Linked DNA regions of Lytechinus pictus. The protein of the gene in region 1 interacts with the protein of each later gene in a biochemical or structural test. Links are inferred from orthologs where the notes say so. Each region holds a gene or a part of one and is shown on either strand. Other genes may lie near its edges. The genes, in order: leucine-rich repeat serine/threonine-protein kinase 1-like and eukaryotic translation initiation factor 4E-binding protein 1-like.

The links.
Region 2: of the proteins of leucine-rich repeat serine/threonine-protein kinase 1-like (region 1) and eukaryotic translation initiation factor 4E-binding protein 1-like, one has a biochemical effect on the other in vitro, tested with the Drosophila melanogaster proteins (2 studies listed by BioGRID). The link is inferred for Lytechinus pictus from reciprocal best matches to the Drosophila melanogaster genes Lrrk and Thor.

The regions. Positions count from the first base shown.
Region 1 is NC_087248.1:18,463,389-18,471,554, reverse strand, and holds the start of leucine-rich repeat serine/threonine-protein kinase 1-like, read right to left. Parts: upstream 3,219-8,166; 5' UTR 2,280-3,218; coding exon 2,165-2,279; intron 1-2,164.
Region 2 is NC_087262.1:3,356,142-3,363,630, forward strand, and holds the start of eukaryotic translation initiation factor 4E-binding protein 1-like, read right to left. Parts: upstream 3,315-7,489; 5' UTR 3,176-3,314; coding exon 3,034-3,175; intron 1,895-3,033; coding exon 1,733-1,894; intron 671-1,732; coding exon 636-670; 3' UTR 1-635. Other genes in the region: leucine-rich repeat protein SHOC-2-like, read left to right, coding at 3,879-3,945, 6,201-6,344. UniProt on the Drosophila melanogaster protein: Repressor of translation initiation that regulates eIF4E1 activity by preventing its assembly into the eIF4F complex. Hypophosphorylated form competes with eIF4G1 and strongly binds to eIF4E1, leading to repress translation.

The DNA.
Region 1 (8,166 bases):
ATTTTTATGCCCACTCTAAACATTTGTTTCTCAAATTGAAAGTACTTGTTGCTATATATAAGCTTAATAAATTCCTAATAGGATAAATCCTCTTCAGATATGTTGACACATCAATAATTGTTAATATCATTCCATATTGAGATCCATAATTAATAACAATATCTGTCATAAATATAACTCTCATGCATGTACATGTATATTAAAATGAAAGAAAACTTTCATTTTACTGTCAAACATAATACACCTTTTGTATGGAATGCACTTCCTCAATATATACGTCAAACTAGTAATTTCAATTGTTATAAAAGGAAACTATAAAAACTTATAAAAAAAAACTAACCTACATGCAATCCCTATTCATGTAATTATTCATACAATAATATTTAACCTTTCACCCCCTCTTAACTTAATTTTATGTTTATAAAATTTTGTAAAAGTTGTAAAATTCCTTTGGCGCGATAGCTCAGTCGGTAGAGCGGGGGATTCGTATTCTGGTGACCCGGGTTCGATTCCCACTTGGTGCGCTAGTGCCCTTTGGTAAGGCATTAATCCTCAGTACCAGGTCCTTCGGAGAGGACCTTAAGCCGTTGGTCCTCTGGTTGCTTGCTTACAAGCATTTATGCTTTCTTAGCAATCAGGTAAAAAATCACCACCTTTATTTTGTATTGCTTTATGATTAAAAACCTCAACAATTGTCAATTGTACAAATATTCAATTCCAGTTTGGGGCACAGCCTTGACAAGTTCAAGTCTTATTCTAACTTTTGCAGAGACCCAATTCCATATTGGATTATTTTTTCCTTGTATGGGAAATCAATTCCCTTTTTGTGTTTTCATAACTTGTATTGTATGTAAATGTAAATTCTTGTAAATTTGTATCATTTTATTGAATGTAATGAATTAATCTTGAATCTGAATATATGGAGGTATGATTACTGCTCATGACACAGATAATGCTGGCACTCCAAGTGACCTATTAATATTCCTGAAAAAGTATCAAAATATTACGTACATCCTTAACAAGCTCGTCATATGATTTCCTCCTTTTTTATGATTTCCTTCGTACTACAGAATCGAGCCTTCCCTTATTAAACCTCACCAAATTAAAGCTGAACAGTAGTGCAGTGCAAAAATAGAGGAATTTGCCATTGAAGGGAGTGCAGATAGTGCACATCAAACATTTATAAAAGAAGTACAAAGAGGACTAGAAGATGGGGAAGAAAAAGAGGGGAGGTGAAGATTAGGAGGAAGAGGAAAAGAAGAAGAAAAAGGAGGAGAAGAAGAAAAAGGAGGAGGAGAAAGAAGAAAGAGGAGAAGAAAGAGGAGGAGAAGAAGAAGAAGAAGGAGGAGGTGGAGGAGAAGAAGGAGACAAAGGAGAAAGAGAAGGAGGAGGAAGAAGAAGACAAGAATATCAAAAGGGGAGGGAAGATGTTGAACGAGGGGGAGAACATGGATGAGGAGGATTGGACAAGAGAAAGCAAGAAAAGAAAATACAACTAACAAGTAGAAGTAGAACAGAATTATATCATGAGTAAACAAAAATAACAATAAAATATTTAATAAGAATATGATTGCCAGCAGCTGTAGGAGTTGGTTGCAGGGGTGGTTGTGTAGTTCCAAACAATGATAACAAAGAGGTAGTTGGTCCAAACAAGTTTTTTCATCTTTCAATGAATGAATGAATGAATTAATTAATCTTTTTTTCGTTTCAATACCAATATTTACAACATCAACAGTAAATCAAGTAGCTGTTTGTAATGTACGTGTAAAAAATATTTGTATCTAAAGGAACTGTTGCTGCGCTAGCGCCATGAGCGTCTCTGGACGGTGTGCGCGCTCAATAAGATATCACTATTATTATTATTATTATTATTGCAATACAAGTAAATAGCAAAGAACAAAAGTAAATAACAAGGTCCAAACAAGTAGATAGTAGGTTCCATGACCTTTGCTCCTGTGACTAATGCGCCAACTGAAAATTAAGCAAATAAACCCGAGCTTGAAACTGTACCTTAACCCTAATCCTCACAGGTATGATTCTTAAACAAAATTCTTAACACAAATCTGACCTTCACCTAAATCTTCAGATTGATTCGCAGAGGAGCATTTGTTTGTGGTAAGAGCAAACCGATTTAACTAACCCACAAATGAAGTATAATACTCACTCTTCCTTCTTCTCCCACCTTCCCCTTCACCATAGTTCCATGACCTTGAGCTCCACTTTTTGCCAAACGACCTGAAATTCCTCTTACATCTCAGAGTCAACGATGACGACATCATGGACAGACAGGGCAACTTTCCTCTCTAAATGCCAATGCAGGAAAAGCTTATGGATTACTGAACAGTCAACCTGAACTCCGGCTCAGGTCAAAGAATATCCCTTAAGAAACCTCTCAGCCAATTCAGTTACAGTTTACCCAGTTTGCACAAATATGGCGGTGAGCCTGACAATACCTTGTAATAAGATAAAGTAGAGTCAACGATATTATTAAGCATCGGCCTTTCTTTCCTTTTGAAGTTTGAACATGATCACATCCTGAAAATCAACACTTGGACAAAGCACGTTGCAATCATTGCGAACAGGTTAATTTTCACAACATATGTTAATAGTGAGGACATCAGTGCAAAAAGGCATTCATTGACTATTCACCAACACATCACTGATCAGTGGATCACAAGATGTTCACTCTTGCACATGTTCAGGCCAAACTGCTTTCGTTCATCCCTGTATTTTGGTCCTGCACAGCAGGATAATTTGACCTCACCAGTAGTCTGTTCAGGAATTCCAAAAGAACAATTCCAAGACACCAGAATCAGAATCCGACTGAGATATCCCAGTGTATCCTATGCTCAGTAGATGGCAAACTGACATTAGCTTTAGAACTAGATCTGCAGATGGACATTTCTCTTCAGAGACATCAGAAAAATATTACGCACAATCACCATGATCTAGGAAGACAATTCTATAAATGACGACTGATTACGATGGCTAAGCCTCCAACATAGATTATTGAACACGCTTCCTTGTTATCAGGTGTCCAATGTTGCGATAAGAGACAAAAACAAGCAACAGGAAGATACCTGTGATATCCTTTCACTTCAGTGACAATGAATATAAAATGGCTTGCTATATCATAGTTTGGGAAGGCAACAAACACTTTCCTGATGCTTTGGGGGCATCCGTCGAACTAACCCTGATGCAACCATTGCATGGTGCTGGAGCGAATTGATTACGGAAACTAGAGAATAATTACACGGCTTTAATGTCAAACAGAAACAAACATTCAACATCAATACTTGGGTCCATAAACACCATCAAAACTAATGAATTCCTGGGAGTGGCTGTCTGGAAAATCATTAAGAGTTAAGTTTTGGAGAGAAACTCGAAGACATTACAGGTATCGACATTGCATGATTACATTTTGATCATGTGATATGGAAGTGCTTGTTGAGATGATATGAAGTCTAGGTAGCACATGGCATGGAGAAGAGCCACACAAATCAGACAGATTCTTATCCTCGGGTTTCGCGGGAAAAACTGTTGAATCCTGGTTCTGCCATATATAATATGGCCCAGTGACCCGCTCTTGTCATGTGGGTTCCAAAAATAAATGTGCAGCTCTAAAAAAATTAAGGTTTACTCTTCCAAACACAAAGTGTTACAAGTAGGTGAAAGTATTAGAAAAATATGAGTGATCAATATCATGCCCACGTTAGCATGTAGATGATGTAGCTGAAGAGTTCGTTAAAACAGGACTCCGTGGGAGAGAGAGAGAGAGAGCAGGCCAGGGCGATAATGCCTGGTGTGCGTGTGTGTTACCCAAAATATCTCAACTTCTAATTCAGACAGGCGACACGAGACAATTCATGATCATGAGAATTAAGTAGTCATTAGATTATTAACCAATGAGTGTTAATGTATGACTACAGGCTTCCTAATTTGGAGTGCGGGGTGGAGAGAGGGGGGGGGGGGGTGAGTGTTAGACCTGCCTGGGATGTACAGTATGTATGTCAAGGCAGGAAGACAGGGGGGGGCACACAGTGTTATGATTAAAGGAAGTGAAAGAGGGAAGGAGGGTCAATAAGAAATTATGACAACTTGTTAAAACTAGGGCATAGCATGGGTCTTGCTCCAAATTTCTGTATCTGGACAAAGCAATGCCTGTTGGGAAGGCTGAAGTACATTGTAATCTTGTAAGTAGCCAAGCAATGTTCATGACTTTTGTATACCACCTACATGGCAAAAATTACTATGACATCATATGGATTACTACGCTCTAAAAAAAACTCAAAGGGTAGAATAGGTGGAAAAAGGTGGAGAAGCGTGAAAAGGGGCCAAGGAGTGAGTGTCTACCATCCTTTTTAGAAATGCTGTCACTTCTCAGCTCTCATAAAGTTTGTTTCGATGAAGGCAGAAAAACAACAAAATAAACATGTAAGTGAAGGTTTAGCGAAGATCCGTAAACAAATAGAATTTAAAACTTTTGAGTGTGTGAGATCATATGCACGCATGTATATGTTAATTCTATAATATAATACTAATTCTCAAAAATTGAAAATTGATAACACACATGTATTATTTGCATGCAATATCATCAGACACACAAATCATTTCGTAGTCAGTTTTATACGAAAAACTATATTTACAATGATGATTAACATGTACCATAAAAAAAGTAAATTTATGGAATTCATATCACATGCCATATATTAGGCAGTTGCTCGCATATGACATCACAAACTCAATCAAACCTAAACAAATCATAACTCTCTAATTATTTGATGACATTTTTGCCGATCTGTCAGTTATATCTTTTTCTTTTTTTTCAGGGGTTTTTTTACAGGAAGACAATTTAAAAGCCCACAATTTTTTTTTTCAATCTATCCCACAACAGGGTATCCCTTTAACCATGGAGATACTTCCATATGCTTTAATTACCGTAATGATCATGTGATTTTAAAATCATGTGATCTGAAGTCAGACATCTACATCCCCCTGAGCACACAAAGAGCAGGACAACCGTCAATTTGGTGAAAATCACACAAGACCATTTCATCAGCTTAAAATCTGTAATTAAGCCAAAGATAATTTAAACAGCACCTGCTTGACCTAAAGCAACTCATATTAAAGAACCTGGATCCGGTTTATATGTGACCCCCCCCCCCCCTCAAAAAAGTCGCCAGGACAGATTCTCTGTAAATAGCCAAATAGCAGTATGATCTTAACATTAGAAATTGCTTTAGATGACAGAATAATTATCAAAACTTTAAGTTGTACACTGTACAGATAAATAAAGGACAAGATATAAGACTTTCTTTGATCCCACTTTTTTCAGGACTACTTGGAAGTTCCACTGAGATTATGAACATTTCGTGGAGCGAAAAAAACCACAAACTAAATGTGTCAAGATTTCTCTAACATGACAGGCTTTAACACAAAAATCAAAATAATAATAATGGAATAAAATGTTCCTAGATCCATCAAGAGTATGAGCTAATTTCCATTCTTTCGTGGCTGCATATTAAAGAGTAACACTATCTTGCAGCCAAGGGGAACGCCCATAATTACTCAAGCTTACAGAAGAAATGAATGCTCTAAAGACACTGGGATTAGCATTCACAGCTTCATGTTCAGCTGTCATGTGACTGCCAAAAGACAAGATAATTATAGCTTTTAACCTCGACCCGACGAGTCTTGAGCATTGTGTGATGCTGATATTCTGTACTGCTTGAATAGTGTGGTGGTGTCAGATAGCTTCCCTATTGGAAAGAACACAGTTCTACAGTGTGTCACACAGTGTTCACATTCATGTAGCAGTAGAAGTTTAGTGTGTGGGAAACAACGTGAATTCATCTTTAAACTCTTAAATTTGAGCTTTCTAACAGAGCTCTTGAATCCCATTTTCACATAGTCCACTATACCATTTGGGTGCTTTCCAGGGACAAGTGCTGATTGGTCTACAGCCGCTTTGTCAAGTTTACATATTGTCTCAAACCACGTGGTCTAATTAAACTCTTTCTAGTACCAGGGGGCCGTTTCATGAAGCTGTTCGTAAGTTAAGAGCGACTTTAAGAACGACTGGTGAACCTTTCTTACGCGCTTAACCATCGCCGATGAACATTTTGGTGCACACCATTTACCACATGAAAGGATCACCAGTCATTCTCAAAGTCGCTCTTAAAGGGGAATCCAGCCTTGGTCATAATATGTTGTGTTTGAAAGGAGAAAAATAAATAGAACAGAATGGTGAAAGTTTGAAAGAAATCGGACAAGCAATAAGAAAGTTATGGCTGTTTTAAAATTGAGATCTCTAAGACTATGTAGATTTCAAATTGGCAACTGGGTAAGTAATTTATGACAAGAGGCAAGGACAACTTTCCCATAGGCCATGTACTTTATTATCAGTGATTTGTGGTTTTCTCCTAAGTGAACACAGTTAGAGTTATCCACAGTGTGAAAATGTTGAATTTCAGGATTTCGACAGTGCAAATCACATCTTCACACAGTTCACTGAGTGAACACACTGCAACCTCTCACACTGAAGAGTTGCACACACTGATAAATCACCATTTTGACCATGTGAATAAATTTTCCACACAGTCCAATACTGTGCAAACCCACTGTGATCCCTCACACTGTGAGTTGCCCAGTGTAAAATAATCTTCAACAGCATAAATCACGTTTTCAAGTGAGTAGCCAATAATCTGAAACAGCATGGATCACATTTGCATATGTCCACTATATGAACACACTGTGAACATTCACACTTTTATTTTCCACAGTCTGATATTCCCATTACACTTTTGAATTTGAGCAGTTAAACAGTGTGAAATAGTTAACAGTGTGAACACACTGTGACCCTTCACACTGTTGAGTCGTCAAGTGTCAAATTCTCCTCTCATGGTTAAATTTGAGCATTTCAACAGTGTGAATCAAATCTTTCCATAGTCTACTATGTGCATCCGTGCACTGTGAAGTGTGGAAACACACACTGTACAGTTGTCCACAGTGTGAATAGCATCTTCACTGTGGCCCTAGCTAAACCTGTAGAGTAGTTTAGTCTAAAATTCTGTTCATAGTGCGAATCACATCTTTATGTTTAGTCCACTTTGTGAAAATACAGTGATCCCACACTGTTTAGGTGTCCACAGTCTGAAATTATCTATTCCACAATGTGAATCACAATTCACATCCATATACTCTACTGGGTGAATACACTATGAACACTCCAATTGTAGAATTGTCCACAGTGTTCTAACTGGTGTGAATCAAAGCCACATAATCCATACTGTTAGTTAACGCACTGAATTCTTACACTTTAGAGTTTTCCACAGTGTAAGTGTAAGTCACACTTCAGATATTCTACTATGTTAACATACTGTGAACACATCAGACTCAAGAAGGATTAGTTGACTATCAAACAAAGGTTTGGCTAAGATGAACAGGGATTTAGAGGGTTCCATGACATTTCCTCCTGAAACAATTGCTCAGACTCTAAATTCCATCATGGACCTACTAAAGATTCCACACACTATGTGTAATCGAATGACCAACTTCAACCCTGGCTTTTAATAATGCTACACCCTACCCTAAACCTAATCCTAAACCTAAACATACATGTAAAACCCTATTGCAACACTAACCCGGCCTAACCCTATATCTTAGACGAAATTAAGCCTGGATCAAATGTCACAGGAGCAAATGTTGTGTCACCATTTAGAGCAAATATTATCACCGTCGGTATTTGATGGCAAATTTTATACCATTTGGGTGCTTTCCAGGGACAAGTGCTGATTGGTCTACAGCCGCTTTGTCAAGTTTACATATTGTCTCAAACCACATGGTCTAATTAAACTCTTTCTAGTACCAGGGGGCTGTTTCATGAAGCTGTTCGTAAGTTAAGAGCGACTTTAAGAACGACTGGTGAACCTTTCTTACGCGCTTAACCATCGCCGATGAACATTTTGGTGCACACCATTTACCACATGAAAGGATCACCAGTCATTCTCAAAGTCGCTCTTAAAGGGGAATCCAGCCTTGGTCATAATATGTTGTGTTTGAAAGGAGAAAAATAAATAGAACAGAATGGTGAAAGTTTGAAAGAAATCGGACAAGCAATAAGAAAGTTATGGCTGTTTTAAAATTGAGATCTCTATGACTATGTAG
Region 2 (7,489 bases), on another chromosome or scaffold:
AATATAATAATACAATATTTTGACTGAACGGCTTTGCCTGTCAAGATTGCAAAGTTAAGCTTTAATATTTATGGAAAACAGATATTTTGAACTGAAAAAAAAATATGACACCTTTGTTGTAAAAAATGTATTGCACCTAAATATCTGTGTTGTAAACATATATGTACTTTGTATTGATAGAGAGAAGAAAAAAACAAACACAAAGGAGAACTGATTAGTGTTATATTTGTGTATCATAATTAATATTCATATCATAATTAATATTCATGCTACACTTCTAAGCATCTTGCCCCTTGTTTGTTTGAATAACAACATCTTTATTCAGGAGATTTTAATAGAACCTTAGTTTTTTTTTCTCAATCTAGCTTATCTTTGGAGAATATGTTTGGAAAAAATACCCATATTTATGATAAGGTTTTGATTTTACATGAAAGGACATGATTGATACCATAATATTGAGAATAAATTCAGATTTGTCCCCATCAGGAACTTAAGTAAACAAAACAAACAGAACTGCGATGGTGAAATAAACAATTCAGGATCATTTATCTTCTTTACCCGCAGTATACATCTTTTCTTATTTTGTCTTAACTAGCCTTCTTAGACAGTTGTCATCTGTATGTTGGTCCTCCGTCTCAGATGTCCATTTGAAACTGATCATCAGCAGTGTCTAGTTAAGAGAATAAGACAGAGAGAGAGAGGGAGAGAGAGAGAGAAATGAAACATGTGTGAATCATAACAAGTGCATGCCTATATTTCATTCCGGCTAAACATGACAATTTTGTTACAATTCAAAAAATGAAATCTTCAAAAAAAAGTTGTCACATTGCATAATAAATTTTCATCAAGTGCTATTTATTCTTGAAACATCTGTGTTCAAACTACTAATATAGACTTAATCCAAAGGCCTGTGAATTCATGAAGTTCTGTAAGTTTTTGTTTGACTAGGTGTCTGGTTGACAATCACAAATCCAGGATTTTTTTTCTTACAACATAAAGAATATAAAAAAAATTATAAGGTAGCGACTTAAGACAGTGGAGACACCAACTTTTTGGTTAAAAAAGGGAAGTGGGCACATACCCCCCTCCCATGTATACAACTTCCCTGCTGTTAATAAATTATTAATTAAACCCAAGACTACCCAAGACCATTAGAAGCCATGGTAGTTGATAGTGCTGGTCGATATTTGATCTAAATGTGAATAGATTATTGCCAGAAAAATTTCGCTGATAACACAATATATCGCCGAGTCTGAAAATTCATTATATGTCCATTAAGAGTAGTGATTCCGCAAGAGCAGGGAAGGGGGAAATGAAAGAAGACTTCCATTGGTGCTTGTCCTTGAAAAGAGGGCATTTGGGCACTGGTCAACTAAACTGAGTTGGTTTAAAGCAATACAGAGCAGCATGCGGTCAATCACTAGTGATTATCTTTTCATAATAATAGTTTGGGCATATCGTGTTACTGTGATATATCAACATATTCATAAAATCATTATCAAATAATATTTTTCAATATCACATAATTTCGATGATATAGAATTTAGACATATTACCCAACACTAGCGGTTGATGCCGTTTTCATTGGCCTTAGCGGCCCTCTCATTAGCCTCAGAGATTTATTGTGCCTTTTTAGAATTTTTTTTTTCCATTTGAGCTGTAATGCAGAAACATACCTTCAGATGTTATGAAAGTGGCCTTGCCTGAAAATATTGAAATGTATAGTGTGTACCTGTTTTACTCTTTGGAGCCTTGCTTTCACCATTAGGTTTGTCACTGGTCACTTCTGGACAGGTCACTCCTGGAATTGAAGGCAAGTTCTTAGGAGGAGTCTGGCTCAGTGGAGAATTCCTCATATTCAACAAAAAGTGACGATCGTAGATGATGCGTGTTCCTAGGGAAAAAAAGAAGGGTGGAGATGCACAAGACTAAAGTAACCAGACTCTCAAGTTTCAGGTGGGCATTTTCATATAACAAGCAAATTTACGAACGACTGGTAACCCTTTCTTAGGAACTCAACACCAATGAAAATTTGATGTCTACCATTTACCACAAGAAAGGATCACCAGTTGTTTGTAACTTCGAAACAGCTTTATGAAAAACTCACCAGGACTGTAATTGTAATACATGTTGTATGGCAAACCATATTGATTTCTCGGTCAATATGAAATATCTCAGCTTCAAGATTTGTATTACAAGAGGATAAAGGAAGCTTGTGTTGTGTTGCTCAGCAGAGTGAAAAAAAAAGGGAATTCCCCATCTCAGCATCCTCATTTTCCCCTCTGTATGCAAGCATTAGTACACAAGCAGGCTTAATCCAATGTCATGAATCTATCACTGCACAGATGTGATACATGCGTGATGCCTCGTTCTAACTTCAGTTAGTATAGAGGGTTCTAGGTAGGTTGTTCTCATAATCACTTATGACACTGGATTCTACATGTTCTAAAGTTACTCCCACAAGCAATTGCGATTCCTGCTCATGCGCATTGGTATAGTACCTGTTTGGACATTTACTCATCAAACTAAAGCGATTAGCCCGAACATGATTAATGCTGATCTATTATTTATCATTTTTTTTCAGGATAAACCTAGCCTTGAGGACTCCTTGATATCTTACTAATATTTTTGACATTGTATTTTCATCACAGAGCTGAGCCTTGAATTTGAAACGGTGGGTATATTTTATTTTTAATTAGATTTAAATAGAAATAGAATCGATGTGAGTGCAATAACTTATTACAATAATTACATAGCCATAGCCTATAGGCTATAGGGCCTAATCTGACTCCATAGTCCATTTTTGATTTTTGATTTTTTTTTTTTTTTAGCTATTATTAATTCAATAATTGCAGACATTGTGTAAAATTCCTGGATCAAATCGGCCCTAAATAAGTAAATGCGGACGTTAGCTAACTATGGCTTAGTCCCGGGCTAAAGGCTTAGACTTAGTACTGGCCTGGGATCGGGAGGGTCGAAGACGAAGCCAGGCCTGTAGGCTGTACTCCTGTGTGTGTACGGTACGGTACGCACCTCCCGGGGTCGTTGAAAACAATGTGCCTCCTGGCGTTGTGCTGTAATCTTGTGGAAGCTGCGATGGGTCGTCGACGGCTACTCTTTTCGCTGGAATATCCCGACCAGCACTGAGTTGACGACTTGCTGCAGGGGCTGACATTTTGCTTGAATTTTAGAAGATTGCGGGGCAGCTAAAGTTGCAAAGGAATGGACGGTTCTTCGGGTTCTTTTGAAGGTAAATATTGTGATGACGGATTTAGGGGAAATCCGCATCGGACGATACAGCAAGGAGGTACGGTAACAGTTTTGTCAATTTTGTGAGTGATACAGAATTGCGATTTTCTCATATGTACATATTTGAAATATTTTGAAAAAAATAAAAATAAAATTGAATGCAAATAATTTTTAAAAGTAAAAAAACTTAATAAAATTGATATTTTTAAATTAATATTTGGAATATGTTATATTCTTACTAGATTGGCAAGTGCATTTGGGTAGGTTGAAGTTATCAACTAAAAATTGTCTTGTGGAAATTAACAATGTATTTTTTCAACAATTTAGTTTATGTGTTTAAAAAATCAGGGTTTTGAGAGGAAATGTAATACAAATTCTGTATTTATGTAATTAGAATAAATATCTGCTAATTTCAAAGGATTTTTATGGAGATAAATGGGAATTTACGCTTTGGATTTGTGCCAATGGGTCGACGACATTTGTCGATAGCATGTCAAGATGATGTAAACAAAACCACGTGATATCAGCAAGCACGCACACAACGCTATGACCTTTCAAGGCGATAGTTGAAAGTTCAGACTATTTTAGATGAATTATCAGGACGGACTGAAACTGCAATCTTCACCAAAATGGCAGCAGAAGCAGTGACAAGAGTCGTATTAAGATGTGAAAAGGCGCAAGAAGATAGAAACTTAGGTGATATTTTCGTTCTATTGAAATTGAATATTCGGGTTAACGTTGTAGGGGAAAATACATGAAAATGAAACGGCTAGTCTCCTTCAATTCAGCGAACTGTTGACTATATATCGGTTCGCCTCGGCCTCCCGAAGGCGAGGCCGTGTTCATCAGGCCAGGGCGGCGGGGGCGCTGGCCTAGCCTGGACTCTGTCCGGACGTTCCCTCTCTTAAGTGCCGAGATGGGCGTGGCAGCTAGCTAGACACGTCCATTTATTGTTTTATTGATGCCCCTATTTTTCCTCATTTACCAGTACAGTTAGGCCTACCTGAAGATTCAAGAACCAAAACATCAGATGGATTAATAATCAAAATAAAAGAGGATCTTGATTTATATTCATGATTAAGTTCTTATCTTACTTATAATTGTAAAGACATGAGGATTGAGGGCCTATAAGTTTATTAATATGTCTTGCACAGTAGTTTGTAATTTTTAATTGCAGTATTTTGTACATGTAAATGTAGTGAAATAAATAAATAAGAGCTATAATATATGCACTCTCTCAATCTTAAAAAAACAAAACAAGGAACATTGTAGGTGTTGGCATATAATGGTAGGCAGCGGCGTAACAGGGGTCGGTGGCCAGGGGGGGCAAGAGCCAAAAATTTCCCGGTCATACATGGAACAGGCAATGGCTTCATGAGGCAAAAATTTTGAGGGGGCGATATGGCGTATCGGGCAAATATATATATAAAAGCGAAGCAAGCGAGCAAAAAATGTTGACATTTTTATTGCAAAAATCCAATTTTGTGATAGATTTTGACATAATGTTAAAAAGATGATATTATATTTCACCCTCCTCTTCTTTTTTATCTCTTTTTTGTACGCCACGGTGAACAGGATTTTTGTTATGATTGTGAGCATCAGGGCGAAGCTCTATATGAGTATATGCTCGAGGGGGGCCGAGTATGGCGCTTCTGGCAAGAAGTAGCTTAATATAGGTCCCGAGCGAGCGAAGCGAGCGAGATAAAGAAATCACCTTTTCATGAGAATCTAACATGAAGATAGATTTTAACGTGATATTCAAAAAAATATAATACACTTTCCTTTCTTTCCTCATTTTTTTTTGTTTGGTTGTAGAACTTTTTGGGGCCATGGTCCAAACTCATCCATATAACAGTGCTTTATGGGTGGGGTCCAGGGCAGAGCCCCGTAACCTCTTGATATCAAAGCTATTTTAAACCTTACAGATGGCCACTTATTTTAATCAAATTGCGTGTATATTTATATAGCTTTAACACAACACATAAATTCAATACAGTTGTGTATCGTAATCATCCAAATATTGTGAGGGGCACACCATAGCAAATGTGGGAAAATTTGTAAAAAGTCGCCAGCGAGCGAAGCGAGCCAGAAAAAAAATGGCCTGTTAAAATGAAATTCTAATTATGTGATAGATTTTTACATCATTATAGCAAATATCATGTCATATATTTTTTTTCATTCATCCCATTTCGCTGCCTCCTTTATTTTTTTATATTTCCCCTTGGCTGTGGAACTCCCCCCCCCCCCCGGTACGCCAGTGCTTCAACATAAAGCTTAATGCAGGAAGGGTCCATATAGGGGCCCGTTATAGAACCCATTAAAGGTTACAGATGAAGAGCCCCCACTGCACGGGGTCTTGACTCTTGGACAGAGCCTTTGGAGATTTAGCAAGTTTATGATAAACTTTCATACGACATTATGCTATACCATCAATTTTCTTCCCGCTCGTTATCTCAATCCTCGGCAGCCCGGTAGTGTACGTTATCTTGTCCCTATTCTTTATTTTCCAATTAAGATTTTGGCTAATTCCATTCTGCCTTTATTTCCCGCTTTTGTTTGCCTTTTTGTCATCTTTAATTTATTTCCCTGTCTTACTAATCATGCTAATGTATTTTTATATCGGGGCGAATTGTTCTTTCTCACTTTTTCTTTTTTCCTTCCTTTTCCCGTTATCTTTCCGTTTTCCCTTTTTTATGTTTTTTCTTAGTTTTCTTTTCCCTTTTCCTTTCCCTTTCCCCTTTTTTCTTTCCTTTCCCTTTCCCTTCCCTCCCCTTTTTTTTTTTTTTCTCCCCGTTTTTTTGTATTTTCCCGGTGAGCTCCGCCAGGGGGGGCAGCTTGCCCCCCCGCCTGTTACGCCACTGATGGTAGGGCCTATTTATTTGCATCATTGACCATTCAAGTATCGTAATGTTTTTTTTCTTTCTTTCTTTTCTTTTCTTTTTACTCAACAGATTTATCAAGCTGTCTACTGGAGTCGGTTCCGCAAGCAGTTTACCATCTAATGAGGAAAACACAATTATCATCCATTGACCTCTCACATAATGCACTCACTATAATGTCAAAGAAACTCCCAATGAAATTTCCAAGTGTTACAGGTAAGAATTTTTTTAAAGCATATTTCCCTGATATATTTTCATTATTATTATTTTTTTTTCTTGTCGTTATCATCATTATCATGAATAATCACTCTTCTTCATTATTACTGATAATTTTATCATTATTATCATTATTGTTATAAAAATTGTAATTCATATTATTTTATTATTATCATTATAAATATTATCATCATCATTATTATGTATTATCATTATTATTATAATTGTTATTATTATCATTCATCATCATTATTATAATTCATTAATGTCATTGTTATTTAAAATCATTATATTGAACAGGGGGCCATGCACCAAAGATTTAAGGATAAGTGATATATGACAATGCAATTTGTAACAACACTAGCAGCTTTTATTTTGATATTTCACTTAATTTTCCCTTATTTAGTGCTGTATTGGTGTTTTGTTAATTGTATAGTAGATATTTATAGGTTTTTTGTGGTAAATTTGCAAAGAAGCGTAGGACTTCCACTAATAATTCATAAATATACAATTTTAGTTTGCATTGATGTGAAAGGTATTGATTGAAGAGATTGAAAGCATGCCAGGCAGTTCAGAAGTACAGAAATCCAAGTGCTCATAAACATTGTAACAGAGCGATTCTGTGATGCAAATGCTTGCCTAGCCTGAAATATATCCTTAATTAAAAAAAGGAAAATTAGTTTGGAACTGCCCATTCACTTTGATAATGACAATGTTATGATCATCAAATGGTCGGTGCATAGGTGATGGTGATGAGGTCTTGTAAATAGTTTATTGGTCCATGGTTTAAACCATCCTGGGTCATGCTGAAAAAAAGAACAATGAATCAGCCATATGTAAAAAAAACAAAAACATAACATGTCACATCATGTCCAGAGAGAACAATTCCATACACATGTCAGGCGTGGATCCAGAGTTGAAATTTTAAGTGGTGCTACAGGATCCATAATTTTTAAAAAAGGGTGGCACATTTTACCCAGTTGAAATTTGACAATAAAAAAAAAAGGTTTTCCCCTAGATTTAACTTAAGGTCAATAATTTGTCCGCCCAAAAATTAACAAGCAAAAAAAAAAGGTTTTCCCCTATATAAGGTCAATTCATCTCTCTTTTTTTTCTTAAAAAAAAAATCCTATGGGGTGCTAGCG